3 linked regions of the Xenopus tropicalis genome follow. The main gene of each other region encodes a partner of the protein of the gene in region 2 in a complex. Links are inferred from orthologs where the notes say so. Each region holds a gene or a part of one and is shown on either strand. Other genes may lie near its edges.

Region 1 (2,663 bases), on a different chromosome or scaffold from region 2:
CGTCTGCTCCGCCCATTCCTTACTCCTCTCCCACCCCAGGTATGTCTGCTCCGCCCATTCCCACCCCACGGTACGTCTGCTCCGCCCATTCCTTACTCCTCTCCCACCCCAGGTATGTCTGCTCCGCCCATTCCCACCCCATGGTACGTCTGCTCCGCCCATTCCTTCCTTCCCCAGGTACGTTTACCCACTAAGTCTTGCTCCGCCCATTCCTTCATCCCAACCCCAGGTATGTCTGCTCCACCCATTCCTTCCTTCCCCAGGTACGTCTGCTCCACCCATTCCTTCCTTCCCCAGGTACGTTTGCTCCACCCATTCCCTCCTTCCCCCCCCCCCCCCGGTATGTCTGCTTTGCCCATTCATTCCTTCCACTCCCCACTTCCCCAGGTACGTCTGCTCCGCCCATTCCTTCTGCCTCCTCCACCCCCCCCCCGTACGCCTGCTCCGCCGATTCCTTACTCCTCTCCCACCCCAGGTATGTCTGCTCCGCCCATTCCTTACTCCTCTCCCACCCCCAGGTACGTCTGCCCACTAAGTCTTGCTCCGCCCATTCCTTGCTTCATCCCACCCCCAGGTACATCTGCTCAATTTTCCCTTTATGACTCCCCCCCCCCCCCCCCCCCCCGCCAGTGGCTCACCCCCGCTCTTGCCCCCCCAGGTGGTAGAGGACGGCTATGAGTTCTTCGCTAAGCGGCAGCTGGTGACGCTCTTCTCGGCGCCCAATTACTGCGGGGAGTTTGACAACGCGGGTTCCATGATGAGTGTGGACGAGTCCCTCATGTGCTCCTTTCAGGTGGGTGCGGGGGGTTGTTCCATCCTGCCCGGGGTGGGGGGGTCGGCCTGCCAGTGTGTTGGGGGGGTAAAACCCTGTATTTTCTCTTGCAGATCTTGAAACCTGCGGATAAGAAACTTTTTGCTTACGGGGGCGTCAACCAGAGCCGCCCCGTGACCCCCCCGCGCAACAAGAACAAACAGTCTAAATGACCCCTAAATACCCCTTCCGACTCTTCCCCAAACCCCTGACCCCTCACACACTGACCTCCTTCCCCAGTCTGCCCCCCCCCCGGCGCAGAGGGCGGGGCCTGGGGATGTTACTTTTACCTCGCACGGGGGTTGGAGAAGATGGGAGGGAACCTGCAAATAGAACCACTTCTCTGCCTTAATCTCTTGTAGCCACAGTGACCCCCCCCCTGCCCCCCACAACTCCCATCCCCCCCCCACAACTCCCAGCGCATCTCCCAGTGGTGCCTTATTGCAGTACTGATCTCAGGGGTAGGTGCAAGTGCACCTTGTGGGGCTGTTCCCGACGTGTTGCCCCTCTGCCCCACTCTACGTGGAAACATGGCCGGACTGGGTGCTTTCTCCCCGCTCAGCGGGGGTTAATGGCATTTCAAGGGTAACTAAGACTTCTCTCTCAGTGATTTGCTGGAGTGAGTCCTGTCTGGTTCCTGTAGTCGTTAGTGAGGTCAGTAATTAGGCTTTGTCCCTGTTGGCATTAAACAGACATGGTATTGCGGAGGTGCATTGTGGGTAAATAGGGGAGGGGCTTGTGAGTGCAGCCTGGGACTCCCTTTCCTCCTAGTGCTGAGTTACTCCTGACCATTCCTGGTGGGGGTGGAGTCACAATGGGGGCAGGCTTTACAGGACACACCCCCTCATGTACTGTACTGTTCATAGGCCGGGGGTTTGCGCCCCCCCCACAACGCTGCTCTTCTCTCAATTCCTCGATTTTTCCTGTTTTGTGATGGTTTTTGGTCAGTGTTACGGCCCGTGAGCGGCTCAGCCAATCGCTGTGCCCGGGGGTGAGCCAATCGCTGTGCCCGGCACTGAGCCCATTGTGCCAGTCTCCTGCCCCTCGCTGGGGGGTGATTGTGTGGGGGCAAGTGAGGTGTCTGTCTGGGGCATGTACCTGCTTGGAGTTGCCAGTAGGGGGGGATGTGGGGAGGGGCTCTGAATGGTATCGGGGGGGGATTCTCGTGTGTCTTTTCTTCTGTAAGAGCTACGGCTTTTTATTAAACCTTTTTATCTCGTTTGAATGGAAACCAAATGTCTCTGTATTTATTCCCCGGGGGGCAAATGTCGCCTGGGCCGGGGGGCAAAAGAACCTACTGGGTCTGCACATCTCCTTAGGGCTGGGCACCTGTGGGGCAGAGGCAGATACCCTTAGCTTCCAGGAGGGGGAGTGCAGGCAGTTTCTCAGGTCTCTCCCTTCTATGTTACGTTATTGTGGGATTTATAGCCTAACTACCCAGAATTCCCGGCTGGCCTATTGAGTGCAGGATACGCGCGTTGGGCAAGTAAAGGGACACGGTCACTGCGGCAGTTTATTCATGGGGGCAAATCATATGGGAGATCTTTATAGACAGACGGGGCATGGGATGGTGGCAGGATGCCAAGGGTTAAATTAAGGGTTTTTGCCCCCACTTCTATGCCCAGCCCTAGTTGCCCCAGTGGGTGTGTCCTGCCCTTCCTGCAGGTGCCACTAGGGGGCAGCACAACAGCTCAGCTCATGGGGTTCAGTGAGATACGAGTTAGAGACCGGCGCTGCCGTCTGAACTCACGGGGCCCCATACAACACAGCGGGGCCCCTGGAAATTTAATGGTTAAAAAAACAAAACCCACATTGGCTGCCAGGGGCCCTAATGTCCCAGTTGCTCCTTTAA
Region 2 (3,653 bases):
GGATTTCGGAGAACGTGTTTGAAAAACGTCATCACTGCGTGAGAGCAAGGCAGGTTGGACGACTAGAATACAACGGGAGAAGACAAAGACATCATCAGAAAATACTGATGGAAAATAATGAAGATAAGTAGATAATCCAAGGTGGCATTCACCTAAGACAAAAAATATTTATGCCATGGTTCTCAAAAATAGAAATGAAATAATCTAGAAAAGTTTGACAAAGTTTCTCCAGTGGACCTTCTTAGGACTAATATATATATATAATAAAATACATAGTATACAGAGTGAACAGTGTACACACTATTGTAAAAAAACAAGTAACTGAGGCTATAATGCTATAAAGGTATGGGTCCGAAGGTCATGGAATTTAGAAGTGACCTCAAATTTCCTCATGTCCAACCAACAAATGTATTTGTAGATGTGATATTGGTGTGTAGGCGCTATCTCAGTGCATTGTGCCTGAGTCTGAGCTTTCAGAAGGAGCCAGCGCTACACATTAGAACTGCTTTCAGGAAACCTATTGTTTCTCCTACTCCCATGTAACTGGAGGAGTCCCAAGTCAGACTTGGATTTCCGATACCTACTGGGAGCTGCTATCTTGCTCCCTTCCCATTGTTCTGCTGATCGGCTGCTGGGAGGGGGGTGATATAATGCCAACTTGCAGCTCAGCAGTAAAGTGCGACTATCAGTGCACAGGTCAGAGCACCCTGGGAAATGAAGAATACCCCATGTGAAATTTCAAAATTAAATCTAAAAAAAATCTGTTTTTGAAAAATAGATTTCAGTGCAGGATTCTGCTGGAGAAGCTCTATTAACTGAGGCCTTTTGAAATGTCCCTTGAGTGCACCATCTTTTTTGTTCATTATATATATTCACATATTTATATGAATATCAGAAAAAATACACTCAAAAGCACTAAACAGGTATATGAATATCAACAGATATATGAATATCAGAAAAAAATACACTCAAAAGCACTCAACAGCACTTAACAATGTGAAAAAAATATTTTATTCAAAGCCCAACATTGTCACCTATTGAGTGCTATACATAGTGTGTGTGTTATATATGTAAATTCTGAGGTAGAAAGGTGCACACCAGGATCCTTTAAAAAAATACCTTTATTCATCCATAAAACACTGCAGATTAGGTATATATATATATATTTATTTATGAGATGTCAAAGAACCTACAATATAGAGTGTTACACAAATGGAAGGCCAATGAGGGTGTGAGCTAGGGGTACAGTACACAGCTTTGCAATGTACAATTTGTCTTCCATTTAAAAATGAATGGGTTTCATTAATGTATAATAAAAGCGTACTCACCAGCAGAGTTAGAGTGGTTAGGAGGCACGGCTGAGGGTAACTTATGGTCAGGTTTGGGAGTCTTCTTGCCCACAGAGGAGCTGAGGCACTGACAGATAAAAGAATGTATGTCATTGCGCCATAGAATTAAAAAAACTTACATAATTAATAAATAAAGATATTTATAAAGATACCAATGCCAGAGAATATCTTAATGGTGAAGACACGGAGCTACTAGTAGCAGCTACTTATCACATCTACAAAAAAGACCATGCTGATCACTTACTGATAATTGTCTCTATGTGTGTTTTAGCAGAGGCAGTTCTCAGTATTGTCTATGGCAGGGTATTTTAGTAGCTGCTACTAGTAGCTGTGTGTCTTCGCCCTTACAATAACAGGTGAGGGCTAACCAGGACTGGAATTTATTTTAGCTCATCCAGCGTAATATAACATTTCTCTTTACTTCTACTGCTAAGCTTTTACTGAAAAATGTGAAAAATAAGACTAAAGCTGGCCATGCATGCCCACATTCGGTTAGCCATTTTGGTTGGGCTGGGGGGGGCATTCAGACTAAAGAATCCTTCTGTGCCTCTGTGACTTTCTCTCTATATGGTGTTAAAGAATGGAACTTGGGATGAATGCAGTTAAAATATCTTCTTAAATGCCTTGTCCTTACCTTGGTAGCTTTTTCTGCTGGGGATGGAAGGGCTAGTGGTGAGGGCTTCTTGGTTGCATTCTCATGTATAGGATTGAAAATACTGTATATTCTTTTCTTCTTCTGCGGAGGTTCAGCTGTTTCTTCCCCTGGACAATTAAAATATTGCATGTTGTGAATGAAGGCCACCTTTAAATCTCAACAGAAACCGACAAGTGGCTTTCACTAGTGCTTTGTACACAAAACATTAATAGTACCATAGTGTTGCATATCAAGTCTATGTCGTACATAGGCAGCCTCACCATGGAGATCAGAAATGACCTAAGTCAGCAGGAGTAGAAGTGGGTCTGACCTTCACTTGGGAGTTACATATCAGTGCAAAAGGGATATCACAGCATGTGTCTATCAGATGCCAAGAGGCCTGGCAGCGCCTTTACCTGTCACTAGTACTGACGAGGTGGAAGACAAGAAGAAAAAGGGCTGCAAACTCTCTTGGTTAAGACAAAATGTGAGAGTGGAACAATGTGAGGTACATTTCTCTTCCAGTGCTTTACCCATAGCTGGGTACCACCCAAGAGGAACACATAACACATAAATGGTTTAGAGCAGAATCCTTCAGAGATTTTCTAGTTGTGCCCCCTCCCTCTGCAGTCATACACTTCATTAGGTCCCTCTTAGCTCATAACCGGTTACAGGTATATGAAAATGTGTAATAGCCACACTCCAACAGTTCCACTGATTTCCAAGACTGTAAATAAAAAATAAGTAAACAAGATCACCCTAATAAGCCTCCCCCTATGGGGTACTGGTGCTGCAGTTTGGGGACCACTGGCTTAGAGGAACTCAATTCCATCAGAAAGCAACAATACATTTTGCTTACTAAACTGGGGGTATGTTGTTATATTACCCAATCTGTGTTGCAAAACTAAAGGGAAATGTAAAGGCTGAGCAATATGCAACTTGGTAAGTATCAGCACAAAAACACTGGATTCCCACCAGGTCAGACTATTGAGAGAATTATCAAACCAGAGAGCTGTGTCAGTTTATCAGAATATGATCTAAGCAGCCAAACACTAGTCTGTTTAGTTTGTGGTGGTACTAGCCAGTGCTGCTCAGTAGTAACGACGATCACCAACCTAATCAATACTCTCTCCGATGCAAACTGTATGCGTGAAGAACTGAATTTGACAATTTTTGTTCTGGCATGGAAAATAAATAGCCGAATTCCTTCAGAGCTGATAATACTTTACAGAGACCCCAGGTTGAAAGCCCAAGAAAAGACGCACATAACCCTGGCCAAATCAAACAAATGCAAGAACACTGATATATAATATAAATAGGATACAGAAAATACAAATACATGGACAACAGGGAAATTCAGTAGAACAAGACGTGTGGGGCTAGGTCATAGCGTGAAATCTGTTTTTCAAAAATGCAAACAGATTTTTTTATATTTAATTTTGAAATGTCACATGGGGCTAGCCATATTCTTCATTTCCCAGGGTGCCACAGCCATGTGACCTGTGCTCTGATAAACTTCACACTTTACTGCTGCGCTGCAACTTGGAGTGATATCCCCCCTCCCAGCAGCCGATCAGCAGAACAATGGGAAGGGAGCAAGATAGCAGCTCCCACTAGGTATTAGAATAGCACTCAATAGTAAGAAATCCAGGTCCGGCTTGAGACTCATC
Region 3 (4,139 bases), on a different chromosome or scaffold from region 2:
GTCTCCCATAGGGCTCAATGGCACTCTGCAGCTCCAACCCGGCCCAAGGAAATTCTCCCATAGGAATCAATGGCACTGTGCAGCTCCAACCTGGCCCAAGGAAAGTCACGATACCAAAGCTTGAATGTATCCAAAACGTTCTTACTCAGCGCGACAATACGATTTTGTCGCACAAATTTTGTCGCAAAGTACGAAAAAGTCACCAAAAATACGCTCGGAGCGTTCGTGAATTAGTAAATGTAAACATGTTTTATGTTTGTAGCAAACGTTGATCAGTCCTGCACATCGAATTTTAGCCCATTCCTCTATACAGAACAGCTTCAGCTTTTGGATGTTTGTGGGTTTCCTCACATGAACAGTTTAAGTTAGGTCGTTCCACAATATTTAAATTGGAGAAGTCAGGACAAGCCCACATCTCATTTGTAATAGACAAGAGGATCTATGGGTAGCTTCTCTAAATGTGACATTTTCAGAGTAAACACTTAAGGGCACTGAATCAGGCACCATATATTATTCATTGTTACCAACACGAGAGTGACTTTCAAAAATCCAATATGTCTCCATTAAAAGGTGCAGTATCCCCCCTTGTTTAACAATAGATCAATAAATAGGTCTTCTACGGAACACTTTTTGCCCATTTCAATTTTTAAAAATCTACCTCGCAAGGACCAAACATGGAATAGCTTCAGTTTTCCTGTTTAGCTCACAAAATAAAAATGAGATTTTTCACAATTAAAACAAAAGACATAAGTATATTCAGCCCCTATTTATTAAACAAATGTTGAGAAAGGAGGTATTATTGTTCCCCATGTGTTTTTTGCTGGGTGGAATCCAGCCTTGCTCGGCCTGCGCCTAAATATTAGACTAATAGTTACAGAAGGTGGTACGACAGTTGTTTGAAGAATCTGATCGCCTACAGCAAGAGAACTTCGGTTTCAGCTGGAGTGTTGGGGCAAGCAAATATTTTTGCTGACCCCCTTTTTCTTTTCCAGCTCAGCCAATGTTTTTTTTACTGGTGAAAACTGGGTATAATGCCCCTTTAATATATGTAAAATATAGGAGCAACAAGGTTTCATTGTCTTGTCTGGACACAACCACTTATATTTTGCCCTTACAAATACATTAGCATATCAGCCTACAGAATTTTAGTCATTAACATTTAGTATGCTGCAGATTTATACAATTAAAATCTTGACTTTTATTTACTTTATATTCACAGTTGAAGGTCTAAAATGCCATGTGAATGCAAGTCAGTGAACTAGGAATTCAGAATCATTGCAAGGCTTTTATTATGTCCTTTTTTACTCACTATTTGTACTTCAATTTGAAGTAGAAAGAAAACAAGAAAATTGCATTCACCGCAGAAAATATGGGCTAATTAAGCCTGCATTCTGGTTGGGGCAAACTATACATTTTGCCCCAAAAAACACTTTGGCTTTGTATGTAATAGGGCTATGCTGTCCACACCAGGAGGTAGTGTAAAGTGGGCAGCCATATTTGGAGCCTAAACATAAGCTGGCACATTCATGCGAATGCGTGCATCACAACAGGAATGTTCACAATGAGTAAGTCAGTTAACTCATTACATATACATAAATATATGTATATAGACTATATACCATAAATAGATGCCCACTAATAGTATTGCTTTCTTCCACCCGAGTTGCAGGGTCTATTAGCCGTAAACAATTTTCCTATCACAGTTGCCCTTTAAACAAGTAACTGGTTGCAAGGACCTGTAACCCCACAAGGGAATTGCAGCCTAAGTTGCCAAATAGAGAACCGAGGAGCAAAAAGTGTTAGAGAAAAAAAAAAGAAAATGTAATGGCACCTCTACACAGAGCTAGTAGCTTACATTTCCTCATTAAAGTCACACCACATCAGCATTAATTTACTAATGAGAACAACAAATGAAAATAGATCCAGTCATTGCTGCTCACCCATTGCCCATAACTAAAGGCAAACTACACAAAATGACACAATCTATTCTTCCAACTCCCCCATATAGTGCATCAGTAAAGCTGCGAGTGAGAGCAGCACAGCTGTGGCACAGGGTCAGGATAACCCCCACCTATTGGCAATATACACAGTTATGAAGGTCAACTAAGGCAAATGGAAATAATCAGCTAATGCACAACATGCCCCCTATGGAGTGAGCAATAATCATAGTTCAATCTAAAGTCTGAAGCACCTTGGTCCCTATACGGATCGCTGCGATTCCCAGGTGTATGGAGCGCTGCGCAGTGTTAAGGATCGGATATACTGGGTGAATCCGGATTCTGCACATGGAATACACATGCAGCGGCTAGGAGCCAGCGGATCGCCTCTATACAATGTATATTGGGCCAGTCCGGCCAATAACTCGTACAACAGCCTGATTAACTAGATATATACTATGAGCAATCAGAGCGGCACCCTGTATGTACCGGAGTATAGAATAAAGTCCTGTTCCGGTAACGGCTCCGTAACGCAACTGCAGGCTGACAGCCGCTCCAACTGCCATATCAATCTCAGCACAAGGAGCCCAGCCAGGATGCTACAAACCCCGCTGCCCCAATAATAACACCGTGTATACATCATTGCTCACTCACATACATAGCTAATGGCAACCCTTTCAACCCTGCCACCACATGAAAGTAAAGTGACAGAGTGTAAGGAAACCCGGCCAGGCCTTCCCGAGTACCATCCTCACCTTCTAACAGTCGCTGTATGATGCTGTCGATGTTAAGCTTGTCAACATCTGCCATTGCTCCGAAAGTCTAAATGGCGGACCCAGTAAACTGTCGCAATAAAAACAGAAGCCCAAACGTACTGGAAACCGGGCAGGGGGCAGTCTTGGCGCCGCAGCGGCTTTTCAATCCCCCTCGCTCGTCTTCCGCTACAGACTCCCAAGAACCTGACAAAATGGCGCCACCTCCTCCCCTGCCGGCCCGCGCATGAATATCTATGCACGACCTGGTACATTTTAAAGACCCAGGCGATAGCACGTACAGTCAAATCTCAACCCACGCTGTGTTTCATTGCGCCAGCCGTTTCTGAAATTTGGCCGTATTTGCGAGCTAGGACTATTTTTTCTCTAGTGCCAAAAGTTAGTACTGCGTATATAAAAAATGGTAACCGTTATCGGTTTTAGGAATGCATTACACGTGTGAGGGTTGTTTTTGTTTTAAAAAAGATCCAGTGACATTGTCTTTGATCATTCTGTGGGTTTCTAGGTTTTGTAAATGATATTTGAATGAGGTGTAATTTCCAAAACAAAGTGAAATACTTAGTAATTTTGAAAAAACGATACACGTAAAATAAAAATAGATATGGCTACTTCACGTCAGCTAAATTTATTGTTTTCAACTAATACACAGAAATACCTTTTGGTAGCCTCCTAACAGGGTTGCCATCAGTAATTATGGGGCTACTCCTTGACACCTGAGCAGTGGATCCTGCAAAAAAGTACAATGGAGCTCCAAAAAAACCCGAATTCACTCCCATTTTTGCCAAGTTGTCCACAATCAGCCCAGACTTCACCCACTAGCCCAAAAGTCTCAGATCAGCTCTTGTGAGAAGCCCTTGCTATCAGGCCCCTGACCAAATTTCCCTCTGTCCCATCTGATGGCAGTGCTGCTGCCTAAGCTGTCACATTTAATACATTAATTGCTGTTTTTTCTCAGTAGTTGCAGAAGCCTTTGCCCCAAATAATTGTACTCCCTGACTTCATGCTTTCTGGCTTAGTAACGCAAGAAGAAACGTGCAGGTATCAATGCTTCTGTACATTGGCCAGGGCCAGGGCCAGCCAGGAGGTTTGGCAATTTCTTGGCCAGTGGAAACCCAGACACCTGAAGATCAGGAGACCAGTGTCTCAACTAGTCCAGGGTGAATAATTATTACCCTACCAACTTAGTGTTAATTGAAATCTCTACACCAGTATTGAAATAAATATGTTGTAGAAAGTTAGGACTAGGCTGCCAACAGCCTAACACCATTCTAAATGTTTGATCTGGTGCTCCCTGCAAAAAACAGCACAACTTTGGACACAAGTGCTCGGTAGATAAGCCCTTGTGCCCTTTAGTGCTCTTGCATCTGTGCCAAGGGCCTTTCTAACTGACCCCTTTACTTTTTTTTATTTCATAGTATTGTCACAAAAG

Evidence for each region.
Region 1: the proteins of cdca2 (region 2) and ppp1ca are in contact, whole or in part, in a crystal structure (PDB 5IOH), measured with the Homo sapiens proteins. The link is inferred for Xenopus tropicalis from reciprocal best matches to the Homo sapiens genes CDCA2 and PPP1CA. Residues at the interface, in NP_689775.2 of Homo sapiens: Lys391, Arg392, Val393, Thr394, Phe395, Gly396, Asp398, Leu399, Ser400, Pro401, Glu402, Val403, Phe404, Asp405, Glu406, Ser407, Leu408, Pro409, Ala410, Asn411, Leu414, Gly417, Gly418, Thr419, Pro420, Val421, Lys423; in NP_002699.1 of Homo sapiens: Gln20, Gly21, Ser22, Pro24, Tyr70, Asp71, Leu73, Arg74, Glu77, Tyr78, Asp166, Lys168, Ile169, Asp242, Leu243, Tyr255, Phe257, Arg261, Pro270, Ser284, Glu287, Thr288, Leu289, Met290, Cys291, Ser292, Phe293, Gln294, Ile295, Leu296.
Region 3: the proteins of cdca2 (region 2) and ppp1cc are in contact, whole or in part, in a crystal structure (PDB 5INB), measured with the Homo sapiens proteins. The link is inferred for Xenopus tropicalis from reciprocal best matches to the Homo sapiens genes CDCA2 and PPP1CC. Residues at the interface, in NP_689775.2 of Homo sapiens: Lys391, Arg392, Val393, Thr394, Phe395, Gly396, Asp398, Leu399, Ser400, Pro401, Glu402, Val403, Phe404, Asp405, Glu406, Ser407, Leu408, Pro409, Ala410, Asn411, Pro413, Leu414, Gly417, Gly418, Thr419, Pro420, Val421, Cys422; in NP_002701.1 of Homo sapiens: Arg20, Gly21, Ser22, Pro24, Lys60, Tyr70, Asp71, Leu73, Arg74, Glu77, Tyr78, Asp166, Lys168, Ile169, Asp242, Leu243, Tyr255, Phe257, Arg261, Pro270, Asn271, Ser284, Asp286, Glu287, Thr288, Leu289, Met290, Cys291, Ser292, Phe293.

Annotation. Positions count from the first base shown.
Region 1 is NC_030685.2:494,934-497,596, forward strand, and holds the end of ppp1ca (protein phosphatase 1, catalytic subunit, alpha isozyme), read left to right. Parts: intron 1-658; coding exon 659-793; intron 794-885; coding exon 886-984; 3' UTR 985-2,042; downstream 2,043-2,663. UniProt on the Homo sapiens protein: Protein phosphatase that associates with over 200 regulatory proteins to form highly specific holoenzymes which dephosphorylate hundreds of biological targets.
Region 2 is NC_030679.2:127,759,937-127,763,589, reverse strand, and holds part of cdca2 (cell division cycle-associated protein 2), read right to left. Parts: intron 2,112-3,653; coding exon 1,984-2,111; intron 1,417-1,983; coding exon 1,329-1,416; intron 63-1,328; coding exon 1-62. UniProt on the Homo sapiens protein: Regulator of chromosome structure during mitosis required for condensin-depleted chromosomes to retain their compact architecture through anaphase.
Region 3 is NC_030677.2:162,953,008-162,957,146, forward strand, and holds the start of ppp1cc (serine/threonine-protein phosphatase PP1-gamma catalytic subunit), read right to left. Parts: upstream 2,926-4,139; 5' UTR 2,748-2,925; coding exon 2,693-2,747; intron 1-2,692. UniProt on the Homo sapiens protein: Protein phosphatase that associates with over 200 regulatory proteins to form highly specific holoenzymes which dephosphorylate hundreds of biological targets.